Mus musculus: one gene and its partners. The protein of the gene in region 1 purifies or fractionates together with the protein of each later gene. This does not show direct contact. Links are inferred from orthologs where the notes say so. Each region holds a gene or a part of one and is shown in the gene's direction. Other genes may lie near its edges.

What was found.
Region 2: the proteins of Bcl7a (region 1) and Smarcc2 purify together in Homo sapiens (affinity purification with mass spectrometry; 4 studies listed by BioGRID and IntAct, counting the BioPlex papers as one, with this or other methods). This does not show direct contact. The link is inferred for Mus musculus from reciprocal best matches to the Homo sapiens genes BCL7A and SMARCC2.
Region 3: the proteins of Bcl7a (region 1) and Dpf1 purify together in Homo sapiens (affinity purification with mass spectrometry; 3 studies listed by BioGRID and IntAct, counting the BioPlex papers as one, with this or other methods). This does not show direct contact. The link is inferred for Mus musculus from reciprocal best matches to the Homo sapiens genes BCL7A and DPF1.

What each region holds. Positions count from the first base shown.
Region 1 is NC_000071.6:123,357,947-123,361,597, forward strand, and holds part of Bcl7a (B-cell CLL/lymphoma 7 protein family member A), read left to right. Parts: intron 1-2,885; exon of another isoform or gene 2,886-3,055; intron 3,056-3,244; coding exon 3,245-3,412; intron 3,413-3,651.
Region 2 is NC_000076.6:128,465,772-128,469,422, forward strand, and holds part of Smarcc2 (SWI/SNF complex subunit SMARCC2), read left to right. Parts: intron 1-3,023; coding exon 3,024-3,099; intron 3,100-3,234; coding exon 3,235-3,366; intron 3,367-3,470; coding exon 3,471-3,586; intron 3,587-3,651. UniProt on the Homo sapiens protein: Involved in transcriptional activation and repression of select genes by chromatin remodeling (alteration of DNA-nucleosome topology).
Region 3 is NC_000073.6:29,310,958-29,314,608, forward strand, and holds part of Dpf1 (zinc finger protein neuro-d4), read left to right. Parts: intron 1-307; coding exon 308-435; intron 436-649; coding exon 650-739; intron 740-1,890; coding exon 1,891-1,969; intron 1,970-2,124; coding exon 2,125-2,256; intron 2,257-3,181; coding exon 3,182-3,232; intron 3,233-3,325; coding exon 3,326-3,445; intron 3,446-3,651. UniProt on the Homo sapiens protein: May have an important role in developing neurons by participating in regulation of cell survival, possibly as a neurospecific transcription factor. Belongs to the neuron-specific chromatin remodeling complex (nBAF complex).

The sequences.
Region 1 (3,651 bases):
AGACATATGTGTACCACATCTTATGGGAGATGGTTCTCTCTTTCCACCAAGTAGGTTCCAGGGATCGAACTCGGATCATCAAGCTTGGTGGCAAGCACCTTCACCCACTCAGCCATCTTGGTTGGCCCATGCATGCACTTGTCCTTTTGACCACTCTAAACCTCTAGTACAACAAGGTGGTATGTGGTAGGTCCGTCGAAGTCAAAAAGGAATAGTGGCTTGCTTGAGTTGCTGATGCCCTCAGACTCAGCCCTGTCTCATCCTGGGAAGACAGAGGCAGTAAGTACCCTCAGTTTCAGGGTTACCATTGCTATGATAAACATCCTGACCAAAAAGCAAGTTGATGAGGAAAGGATTTATCTGGCTTATGTTTCCACAAAATAGTTCATCATCCAAGTCAGGGCAGGAGCCTGGAGGCAGGAGCTGATGCAGAGGCCACAGAGAGGTGCTGCTCGCTGGCTTTCTCCCCATGGCTTTCTCAGCCTGCTTTCTTATAGAACACCAGTACACTGCCCACAGTGGACTCGCCCTCCCCCACCAATCTCAGGCTTTCCTACAGTCAAATCTTATGGGGACACTTTCCCAATTGGAGTTCCCTCCTCTCAAATGACTCTAGCCTGTGTCAAATTGACATAAAAGTACCCAGCACATCCCATTTACCCAAACTGACCATGCTAGATCTCCAACCCCTGGCATCTAATCAAGGAGCCTTGTTTCTTTCTGACTCGGCTTCACAAAAACACAATGGAGTTTTGCTGCTGCTTAATGAGCAGAGAAAGGTCCACGGTCCCACTGAGTGTAGTGGCTCGGGACTGTGTAATTCTAGCTCTCCAGAGATGGAGGCAGAGGGATCAGGAGTTCGAGGACGACCTGGGCTACATGAGACCCGGTCTCAACATAAAAAACCAAAAGCGACAACAAAAAACCAAGGATTGAGGATGTAGTTCCGTTGACAGAGTGCTCACATGCCATGCACAAAGCTCTGGGTCCCATCCCTGGTACTGTGTAAGCTGGATGTGGGGGTCCAGGCCTCTAATCCCAGCAGATGAGAGAAGGGCAGGAGAATCAAGTTTAAGTTCATCCGAGGTGTCCCAGGTTCAAGTCTAGAATCCATGAGTCAGAATTCATTTCTTTTCAGGTGAGATCCAGGATGTGGCCTGGTTCCTGGCTTCCTGAAGCATCCCCTCTGACTTCCCTCCTGGTGTCATCGTATGTTAGTGATGTAACCTCGAGCCTTCTGGTTGGTTTTAACCTGTAGAACAGAGTGGGCTGTGCCTGCTTCATGAAGTCTTTGTGGGGATTAGATGAGATAACCTCTGAAGAGTCTTGGCATGCTCACAGCTACGTTATGAAGTCGTCCTAATGTGCCAAGTATTGGATGACAAAGCCCATTTTACAGATGAAGAGCTAAGGCTAAGAGAAGGGAAGTCATCTTGCCCCATTAGCAGCTGATAGCTTCCCGTGCTTGGGCTGACATGAGGGAGGCTTTGTGGGCAGCATCTAAACCTGCTGCCTGGGCAGATTAGAAAGAGCCACATACCTACCTCTGGTCATTTTCATTTTAGTTCATGAACAACCAAGACCAAGGCAGGGGTGACCAAGCATGAAGGCTCGGGGACAAATGTTGGCCTGGCAAGACCGTTCCAGAAGGCCGGGGAAGGGGCCCAGCGGGAGCTGTAGAGGTCACCTGAGCTGCAGTCTGTAGTCCAGAGATTCAGCCGTGTCAGCTTTGGATCACAGTTCCCAGGCCAGGCCCCAGCATCTGCCTCGTCAGACATTAATGCTCATGACAATTTATTATGTCATTTATTAACAGAATTTTCACCATACATGCATCTGGGTCCTGGCCTGGGGGAAATTTAGACTTTCTTGAATGGGGAGAGTGCGTAATTTTCAAGTCGAGCGTTCACAAGAGAATGCTTTTATGTAACTAGCATTCCGGAGTATAGTCAACCGAGATCAGCTGGGCTGTGTGACTGCCTGGCACTCCCTCCAGGTGGAGGGAAAAGAGATGCTAGGAGTTGAAAGTTGGTCCACATCGGATGGGAAGCCCATGCCCGTAAGCCTAGCACTGGGTAGATAGAGGGCTGATGATCAGAAGTTCAAAGTCATTTTCAGTGCTCTGACGAGCAACATAAAATTGTGCCCTAGGGGGCTGAAGAGATGGCTCAGTGGCTAAGAGCACTGACTGCTCTTCCCAAGGTCCTGATTTCAAATCCCAGCAACCATCTGTGATGAGATCTGTCTCTTCTGGAGTACTTGATGACAGCTACAGTGTACTTATATACAATAAATAAATCTTTTGAAAAAATAAAATAAAATTGTGTCCGAAGAAGAAGAAGAAGAAAAAGAAGAAACAACAGATCTGAGGGATCAGTTCCCCAATCTGTACAAATTTTGGTAACAATACCAGGTAGGTAGGTGCCCATCAGTAAGTTATTGATTAAATGCAGTGTCTGGGCATGGTAGTATGCCTGTAGTTTCCAGCTGTTAGGAAGCCAAAGCCAGAGGATTGCTTGAGGTCATGAGTTTGGGGCTAGCCTGGACCACATGGCAAGCAAGACCTTATTTTCAGAACATAATGGTATAAGTGTTAATGCTCTTTCTCCGTGCACATGGGTTTGCAGGGATGGCCTCTGTCCTCAGTTTTACAAGGTTCCACGGGTAGCGTTGCCTACAAAGACGTGTTATTTATTGTTGGAGACAGTCTCGGTATGAAGTCCTGGCTATCCCGAACCCACTAGGTAGAGCATGGTGATCTCAAATTTGCAGTAATCCTCCAGGCTCTGCCCTTAAACGCTAGGATTATGAGTGTGAGCTGCCGAGTTACCGAGTGATTCTGTCAGATGACCGCTTGGGTGTTCTTGGTCTAGAATGGCCGTCTCGTGCTTCCCCGGCAGAGCAGAGGCGATCCAGGAGGTGGTTTCCAAGGGTGAGGCTCCTCCATTGCACTTGGGGTGTGCCGATTTACATATCACCCCTGTGATTCTCCCAAGTGTGAGAAATTCAACTGTGTAATTTCTGGTCATTGGGGACTGTTCATGCTCTCCCCTATAAAAATAAAAAAATAAAATGACTGTACCCCGGGCCCCAGAGCTGTCTCCAACTTAGTGATTAGCTCCACCACCCCATTCATTTCCTCTCATCTCTTCAGCTGTCTCATTGGAGGATTCGGGCTAGGGAGATGGCACTCGCCTCTCCCCAGCAGTTATAGGATGTCAGCCTATGCTCTGTTCCTGTGCAGATGATAACAGCAACCAGAGCTCCATAGCAGACGCCTCCCCCATCAAGCAAGAGAACAGCAGCAACTCCAGCCCTGCCCCAGAGACCAACCCACCCGTGCCCAGCGATGGCACCGAAGCCAAGGCTGATGAGGCGCAGGCCGATGGAAAAGAGCACCCTGGAGCTGAAGGTACTTGCCACCCAGAGACAGGGCGAGGAGGGGCTGCTGCTCAGCCAGCCTGGAGCCAGACAAGCCGCAGGGGTTTTAAGAAGACTTTGCCATGTGCCAAGTCCAGGCCATGACTATAGAAGAGAAGTAAGACCTGCTTTATAGCCACTAAAAAAGGAGAGAAATCAGACAATTGGGCTGGGTTTGAACCCCAACACCACATAAACTGAGCATATTTTATATGCTTGAGATCCTTGGAC
Region 2 (3,651 bases), on another chromosome or scaffold:
TTTAATTTTTAGTTTATGTGTACGGTTGTTTTGCGTGCTTGTATGTCTGTACGCCTGAAACTAGAGATATAGATTGTTATGAACCATGTGGGTGCTGGAAACCAAACCTGGGCCCTGTACAAGAGCAGTAATTGCTTTAAATACTGAGCCATCTCTCTAGCCAATGCTTCTTGGTGTTTTGTTTGTTTGTCTGTTTGTTGTGAGACCAAATCTTAGAGCCAAAGTCATCTAGAACATCTCCCTTTACCTCCTCAGTGCTTGGATTGCTTAGGAGAGCCACCATGCCCAGCGCCCAGTTCCCAGTGTTTGCTCTTTGTTAGTTTTTCAAGATAGGGTTTTTCTATGTAACAGCCCTGGCTGTCCTGGAACTCACAGAGATCCATGTGCCTCTGTTCTCCAAGATCTGGATAAAGATGTGTACCACCGTCAAGACAGGATCTCACTATGTAATTTCAGCCAACCTGGAATTCACCATGTAGACCAGACTGGCTTCAAACTCAGAGATCTGCCCACCTCTGCCTCCTGAGTGCTGGGATTAAAGGCATAGGCCACCACCACCACCTGGCTCTAATTGTCTTTTAAATGTGTGTCTTTTTGTGTGCATGGGCGAGCATGCACAGGGACAAGAGGATAACCTCAAGTTCATCCTTAGGAACGTTGCCCACTTTCTTTAAGATAGGGTCTCTCATTAGCCTGGTACTCCCCAATTAAGCTAGGTAACATGGCCAGAGAGACTTGGAGATCCTCTGTACCTTTGAAACACTGCAGTGGCCAGCACCAACATTGTTTGTTTGTTTAATTTTATGTGTGTGAGTGCCCACATTTATGTATGTATGTGTGTCACATGAATGCCTGGTGTCTGCAGAGGTCAGAAGAGAACACCTACAGATTCTCTTGAACTAGAGTTATAGGTAGTTTTCAGTCATAATGTAGGTGCTGGGAACTGATCCCAGGTTCTCTGCCAGAGCAACAATTATTCTCCCCCCAACCTTTTTAAAATTTTTTTCTTTTCTCTCTTTTTTTTAAATTAGATATTTTCTTTATTTACATTTCAAATATTAGCCCCTTTCCTAGTTTCTCCTCCGAAAATCCCCTGTCCCCTCCCCACTCCCCATGCTCCCCAACCCGCCCACTCCCGCTTCCCTGCCCTGGCATTCCTCTACACTGGGGCATAGAACCTTCACAGACCAAGGGCCTCTCCTCCCATTGATGACCGACTAGGCCATCCTCTGCTACATATGCAGCTAGAGCCATGAGTCTCTCCTTTCTTTGATTGGTGGTTTAGTTCCAGGGAGCTCTGGGGGTACTGGTTAGTTCATATTTATGTTCCTCCTAGCAACAATTGCTCTTAACTGCTGAGCCATCTCTTCAGCTCCGTGCCCAGCATTTTTATATAGGTTCTAGGTTATATATATTTTTTTTTTTTTTTTTTTATTATATGTAAGTACACTGTAGCTGTCTTCAGACACACCAGAAGAGGGCGTCAGATCTTGTTACGGATGGTTGTGAGCCACCATGTGGTTGCTGGGATTTGAACTGCAGACCTTCGGAAGAGCAGTCGGGTGCTCTTACTCACTGAGCCATCTCACCAGCCCCCCCAGTTCAATTTTATGTTCTGTTTTATCATGCATACATACATACATACTTACATACATACTTACATACATAAACACATACTTACATGCATACTTACATACATACATACATACATACTTACATACATACATACATACTTACATACTTACACACATACATACATACTTACATACTTACACACATACATACATACATACATACATACATACACACACACATACTTACATACATACTTAAGACAAGATCTCACATAGATGTACCAGCTTCTCCCCCTGAGTGCTGTGATTAGAGGATTGCTCTCTCACGCCTGACCTTCTTTTTCTTACTCTGTGTGTGTGTGTGTGTGTGTGTGTGTGTGTGTGTGTGTGTGTGTGTGTGTGTATTCAGGATTGGGATCCTATGCTTTCCTTCCAGGTTGGGTCCCAGAGATGTAGCTCCGGTCACCAGGCTTGTGTGGCAAGCACTTTCTGCCAAGTCATCCCTCTGGGTCATGTTCATATGTTTTGATAATTAAATGTAAAACAAAGGCAAGCATGGTATAACACATCTGCACTCTCAACACTTTAGGAATCAAAGATCAGGAAATCAAAGTCATTTTCAGTTTCCTTGGAAGTTTAGAGCCAGCCTAAGCTATGTGAAGTTTAGGGCCAGCCTAAGCTATGTGAAGTTGTATCTTAGAACAAAAGTTAAAACAGTATAGTAGTAGGAAATGTTTCCACAAATGTATATAATACTCTATAAAGGCTATTATGCAGCCTTTAAAGTGACAGAATACAGTTAGTTTATAGGGAAATTTAAGTGAGAAAGGGAAGTTAGCATCTACAGCTAGAGCTCCCCAGAAGGTAGAGACAGGAGCCTAGGACTTCTAAGCTCTTCTGGGAGACATAGTGTGACCTCTCTTTCAGGGAGCAAAACAAAACAAATACAAATGTAATATAGTTGTAATTACATTTGAAGAAGTGGTTGGTTATAGCTTACCCTGATGCACAGGTCTCACTTTAGACTTAAGGGAATCCTGCCTCAGTTTCCCATAGTCACCAATGTTAGATTGTCTTCATACGTTTTGGGAAACTTTTTGTGCTCTGTTTTATTTCTTGGTTGACTGGTTTGCTTTTGGTTTTTGAGATGGTCTCACTCTGCTGTTCATACTGAGTCGGACACAAGACCCTCCTGAGTACTGGGATCCCAGGCTTACATCACCACGCCTGGCTTTCGAGTTTTTGTTCCTGTTTTATTGTTGATAGTTTCATGGGTCCAAGAGCCTGTCTGTGCTCGCCAAGTACTCTACCACTGAGCCACCTCTAGCCCTCCTTTACATTTTTATTATGGTACAAGCTCCTGCTACACTGACCAGGCCGGCCTTAGGCTGCACTTCGCTCCCGGCAGTCCATCTCCGTCTCCATCTCACACTGAATCTTTTCTGGCAGCTACGACACGTGGATCCCAGCGAGTGAAATTGAAGCATCTGTGGAGGACGCTCCCACTCCTGAGAAACCGAGGAAGGTGAGCTCTCCTGGTCCCCTCCACCCCACTCAGGACCAGCCTTCTCTGTCAGAGGAGCTGGGACTCTGTAAGAGTTTCTAGACAGAGCCGTGGCTTCTGATAACTCTGACACGGACTGCCCTGTGTGTGCTTCAGGTCCATGCGAAGTGGATCCTCGACACCGACACATTCAACGAGTGGATGAATGAGGAAGACTACGAAGTCAGTGACGACAAAAGCCCAGTCTCCCGCAGGAAGAAGATCTCAGCCAAGACGCTGACAGACGAGGTGAGCTCTGCTCCTCCCTGTCAGAGCTCTTAGCTTACACCTGAGGCAAGCCTTGCTGGGAACTGGAGGGTAAACTGCTGCTCATCCCACGTCCTGTTGTGCAGGTAAACAGCCCAGATTCAGACAGACGAGACAAGAAGGGGGGCAACTATAAGAAGAGGAAGCGCTCTCCCTCTCCTTCACCCACCCCAGAGGCTAAGAAGAAAAACGCTAAGAAAGGGTAAGCTACCTCCTGTGCCCACACGCGCTGTCCTGATGCCATCTCAAAGGAAAGACAATGCTTTT
Region 3 (3,651 bases), on another chromosome or scaffold:
CTTTCTACTATGCATGCAGGTATTTATGAGGGTCCATAGTGTTCCTAAGGGTTGCCAGTGTATTGGAGTCTGGTTCTGTCTTCTTTATCTAGTAGAGCTGAGGGTGTGGCTGTGCCTTCCCAGTGTATGGATATTCTTTCCAGGGCTTGAGTCGAATCCTTCTGTCCATTGTTGGCTGTGTGTGGGACAGTGTGGGAGAGCCTGTCCCTGTCGAAAGGACCATGCCCCCACCCCCACCCCCTGCAACCCGGGCACTTTGGCCACAGCCTCTTCAACTGATACCACTTTCCCTGTGGCCCGTCCCCAGATTGTGAGGCACCTCTGAAGAAGGAGGGTGGCCTCCCGGAAGGGCCAGTCCTCGAGGCTCTGCTGTGTGCTGAGACTGGAGAGAAGAAAGTGGAGCTGAAGGAGGAGGAGACCATCATGGACTGTCAGGTAAGGAGCCCCTCCCCGGCTGCAGATGCTCTCACCACTATGCCTTCCTGCTCTGAGATGCCCGGCTCCTCAGGGCCTCTGGGTACCCTATGGCCCCGATCTCCCAGAACACCTCTGCTTGTAGAAGGGTCCCTGACCTGCTCCCCCACCCTACCTGCAGCACATCAGTGCCCCCACCTTCTTGACCCCCCAATCTCCCTTCTACTGGGCCCAGAAACAGCAGTTGCTGGAGTTTCCGCATGATCTCGAGGTAGAAGACTTGGAGGAAGACATTCCCAGGAGGAAGAACAGGGCAAGAGGAAAGGTACCTTCCAGCAGCTTCCCTCCCGCCTCCTCCCCAGAGCCACGTAAAGGAGTAGAGGGCTTTGCACCCATTTTTATGGGTGAGGAAATGGAAACTCAGTGGATTATAAACTTTTTCGAAAATGGAGCTTGTGGATCAGAACTGTCTTGCAGAGCTGGGTGTGGTAGCCCACACTTGTAATCCCAGCACCTGGGAGGCTGAGGCAGGAGAATTGCTACAAGTTTGAGACAAGTGAATTCCAGGCTATTCTGAACTAAATAAAGAGATCGTGTGCAAAAAGAGATTAAAAAAAAAAAATCCTAAACCAAACCAGCTACCCAGACAACAACATCAGCAACACACACAAACACACACACGCACCATGCACACACATACAAACACACTCACATAAACACACACACTTACAAATACACACACATACAAACATGTACACACACATACAAATACATGTGTACAAATATACACTCCACATGTACACATAAACACACATATACATGCACACACACACACACACACACACACACACACACTCACAACCTCTAATAAGAACAATAAAAAGGTGTTGGAACACAGATTTACTCCCAGCACTGGAGAGGCAGAGGCAAGAGGATCTCTGAGTTCAAGGCCAGCCTGATCTATAGAGTGAGTTCGCAGGTAGCTAGGACTGTGTGGAGAGACCCTGTCTCAAAACAACAACAAGAAGAATTATCTTCATAGGTGTACCGAGAGAAATTCAAAGGCTCACCACTAGAAACTGTGCCCAGTTTTAGTGGGGAAGATTTCATTATCGTTGTGTGGTTCTGGCACCCAGAATCTCACACTCACATGACACCTGCTCTGTCACTGAGCCACGCCCCCAGTGCTGAAAAGAAAAACTTTAATTTTTTTCTTCAGTTTGACTTTCAAGTCTAAACGAAGAAGCCCACTAAGGCATGGTAGCACATATCCCATAATTCAGAAGCAGGAGGGCCACTGCATGTTTAAGGCCAGCCTGATCTACAGAGTGAATTCCAGGTCAGGCAGGGCTACATAATGAGACCCTGTCTCAAGCAACAACAGCAACAACGACGACAAACTCAAAAACCCCAAGAATGATGAGCCTTTCTTTCCCTGGCTTTCCAGCTCCTTACTCCTAACCCTCCTCCCTACAGGCATATGGCATTGGAGGTCTCCGCAAACGCCAGGACACCGCATCCCTGGAGGACCGAGACAAGCCGTACGTCTGTGATAGTGAGTTCTGCAGAGGGGAAAGAGAGATGGGGGTTGGGGGGGGGGCAGTGACCTCTCCCTTATGGCCCTCAGCAGAGCAGGTGGTGTGAACCTGGAGGCCAGGGTGGAGGAGGTGGCCCCGGAGTCTGACAATCACCCACTCACTTCCCCTCCAGTCTGTGGGAAGAGATATAAGAACCGGCCAGGACTCAGCTACCATTACACCCACACCCACCTGGCTGAGGAGGAGGGGGAGGAGCACACTGAACGCCACGCCCTGCCTTTCCACCGGAAAAACAACCATAAACGTGAGTTGGAGGGTCAAGGCTGGTGGGTGAGGTGCCAGGGGTGGGGCGGGAGCAATGGAGCCTGGAAATGTCTGCGGACGGGGAGGTGGGGGCACATTTAGACATTTCTGGAAAATCTTCAGCTTAACGGTTCCCTCCTCCACCAACCATAGGGATGCTGGCTCTGGGGTTGTCATGACAACCAACTCTCTCTCTCTCTCTCTCTCTCTCTCTCTCTCTCTCTCTCTCTCTCTCTCCCTCTCCCTCCCCCTCCCTCATTCTCTCTCTCTCTCTCTCTCTCTCTCTCTCTCTCTCTCTCTCTCTCCCTCATTCCCTGCCCGGGCATAATATTTCTGGGTCTGATTTATTGTTTCAATTAGAGCTCTGAGGGGGGTGGTAGATGACTTCCCCACCCCCACCCCAGACCTCCCTCGTCTCCTTCTCTACTATGTTAGGATCCAGGGCAAGGTCGGTGGCCCCCAGGGTCCTTGACACCCACCCATGGCTGTTCCATGCCATGATGACAGCTGAGCCACGGAGGAAGTGGACTATCTCTCACCTGTCCCTCAAAGAGAGCCTCTCCAAAAACCTCAGGCCTGGCCCAGAGCCCTCTGTGCTGTAAAAATGCCCTGATTAGGCTTTGCAGAACTGTCTGCTAATCGTTGGCCTAGGCAAACTTACTTAGGGGTGCCTAAGGGGGTGCCCCCTACATGATGGGGGCAGCCATGGGCTCTTGCTAAGGTTATACCTATCTCTCAGACTTTTACCCAAATAGAACGTATGGTTACCCCAAGAGTTAGGGTTCTGGTGAGAATGGCTTGCCCCTCCCCCAGCTTCCTTGCTACTTCCCAGTGCCTGGGCCAAGGGTCCCGCCCCTGGGGCTGAGGCTGGGGACAGATGGGACCTTGCCTATGGTAAGAGCCCCTTTCTGTCCCCCCACCCCCAGAGTTTTACAAAGAATTGGCCTGGGTCCCCGAGGCACAGAGGAAACACACAGGTAGGGGCACCTCCCTCCTCCCCGACTTCTGCAGCAGTCTTTGACTGGCACGCCTCACCTGTCCTGTGCCCACCGCTGCCTGCTGTCTTTCAGCCAAGAAAGCACCAGATGGCACTGTCATCCCCAATGGCTACTGTGACTTTTGCCTGGGGGGCTCCAAGAAGACTGGGTGTCCCGAGGACCTCATCTCCTGTGCGGACTGTGGGCGATCAGGTGACACTCACCACATATTTTCTGGAAGATGGCGGGGAGAGGGCATCTCAGAATCTGGATTTAGGGAATGGGAGGCAAGGGGAGCGAGGGCTGTACCCCGCCTGTCCTTGGGACTGCCTCTGCTGCCGGGGTCTGTGGGAAACTGAGCGGACTTGCTGGCACAGGAGGAACCAACAGTACGAGGTGCCATGGCTTTGTGCTCTCCC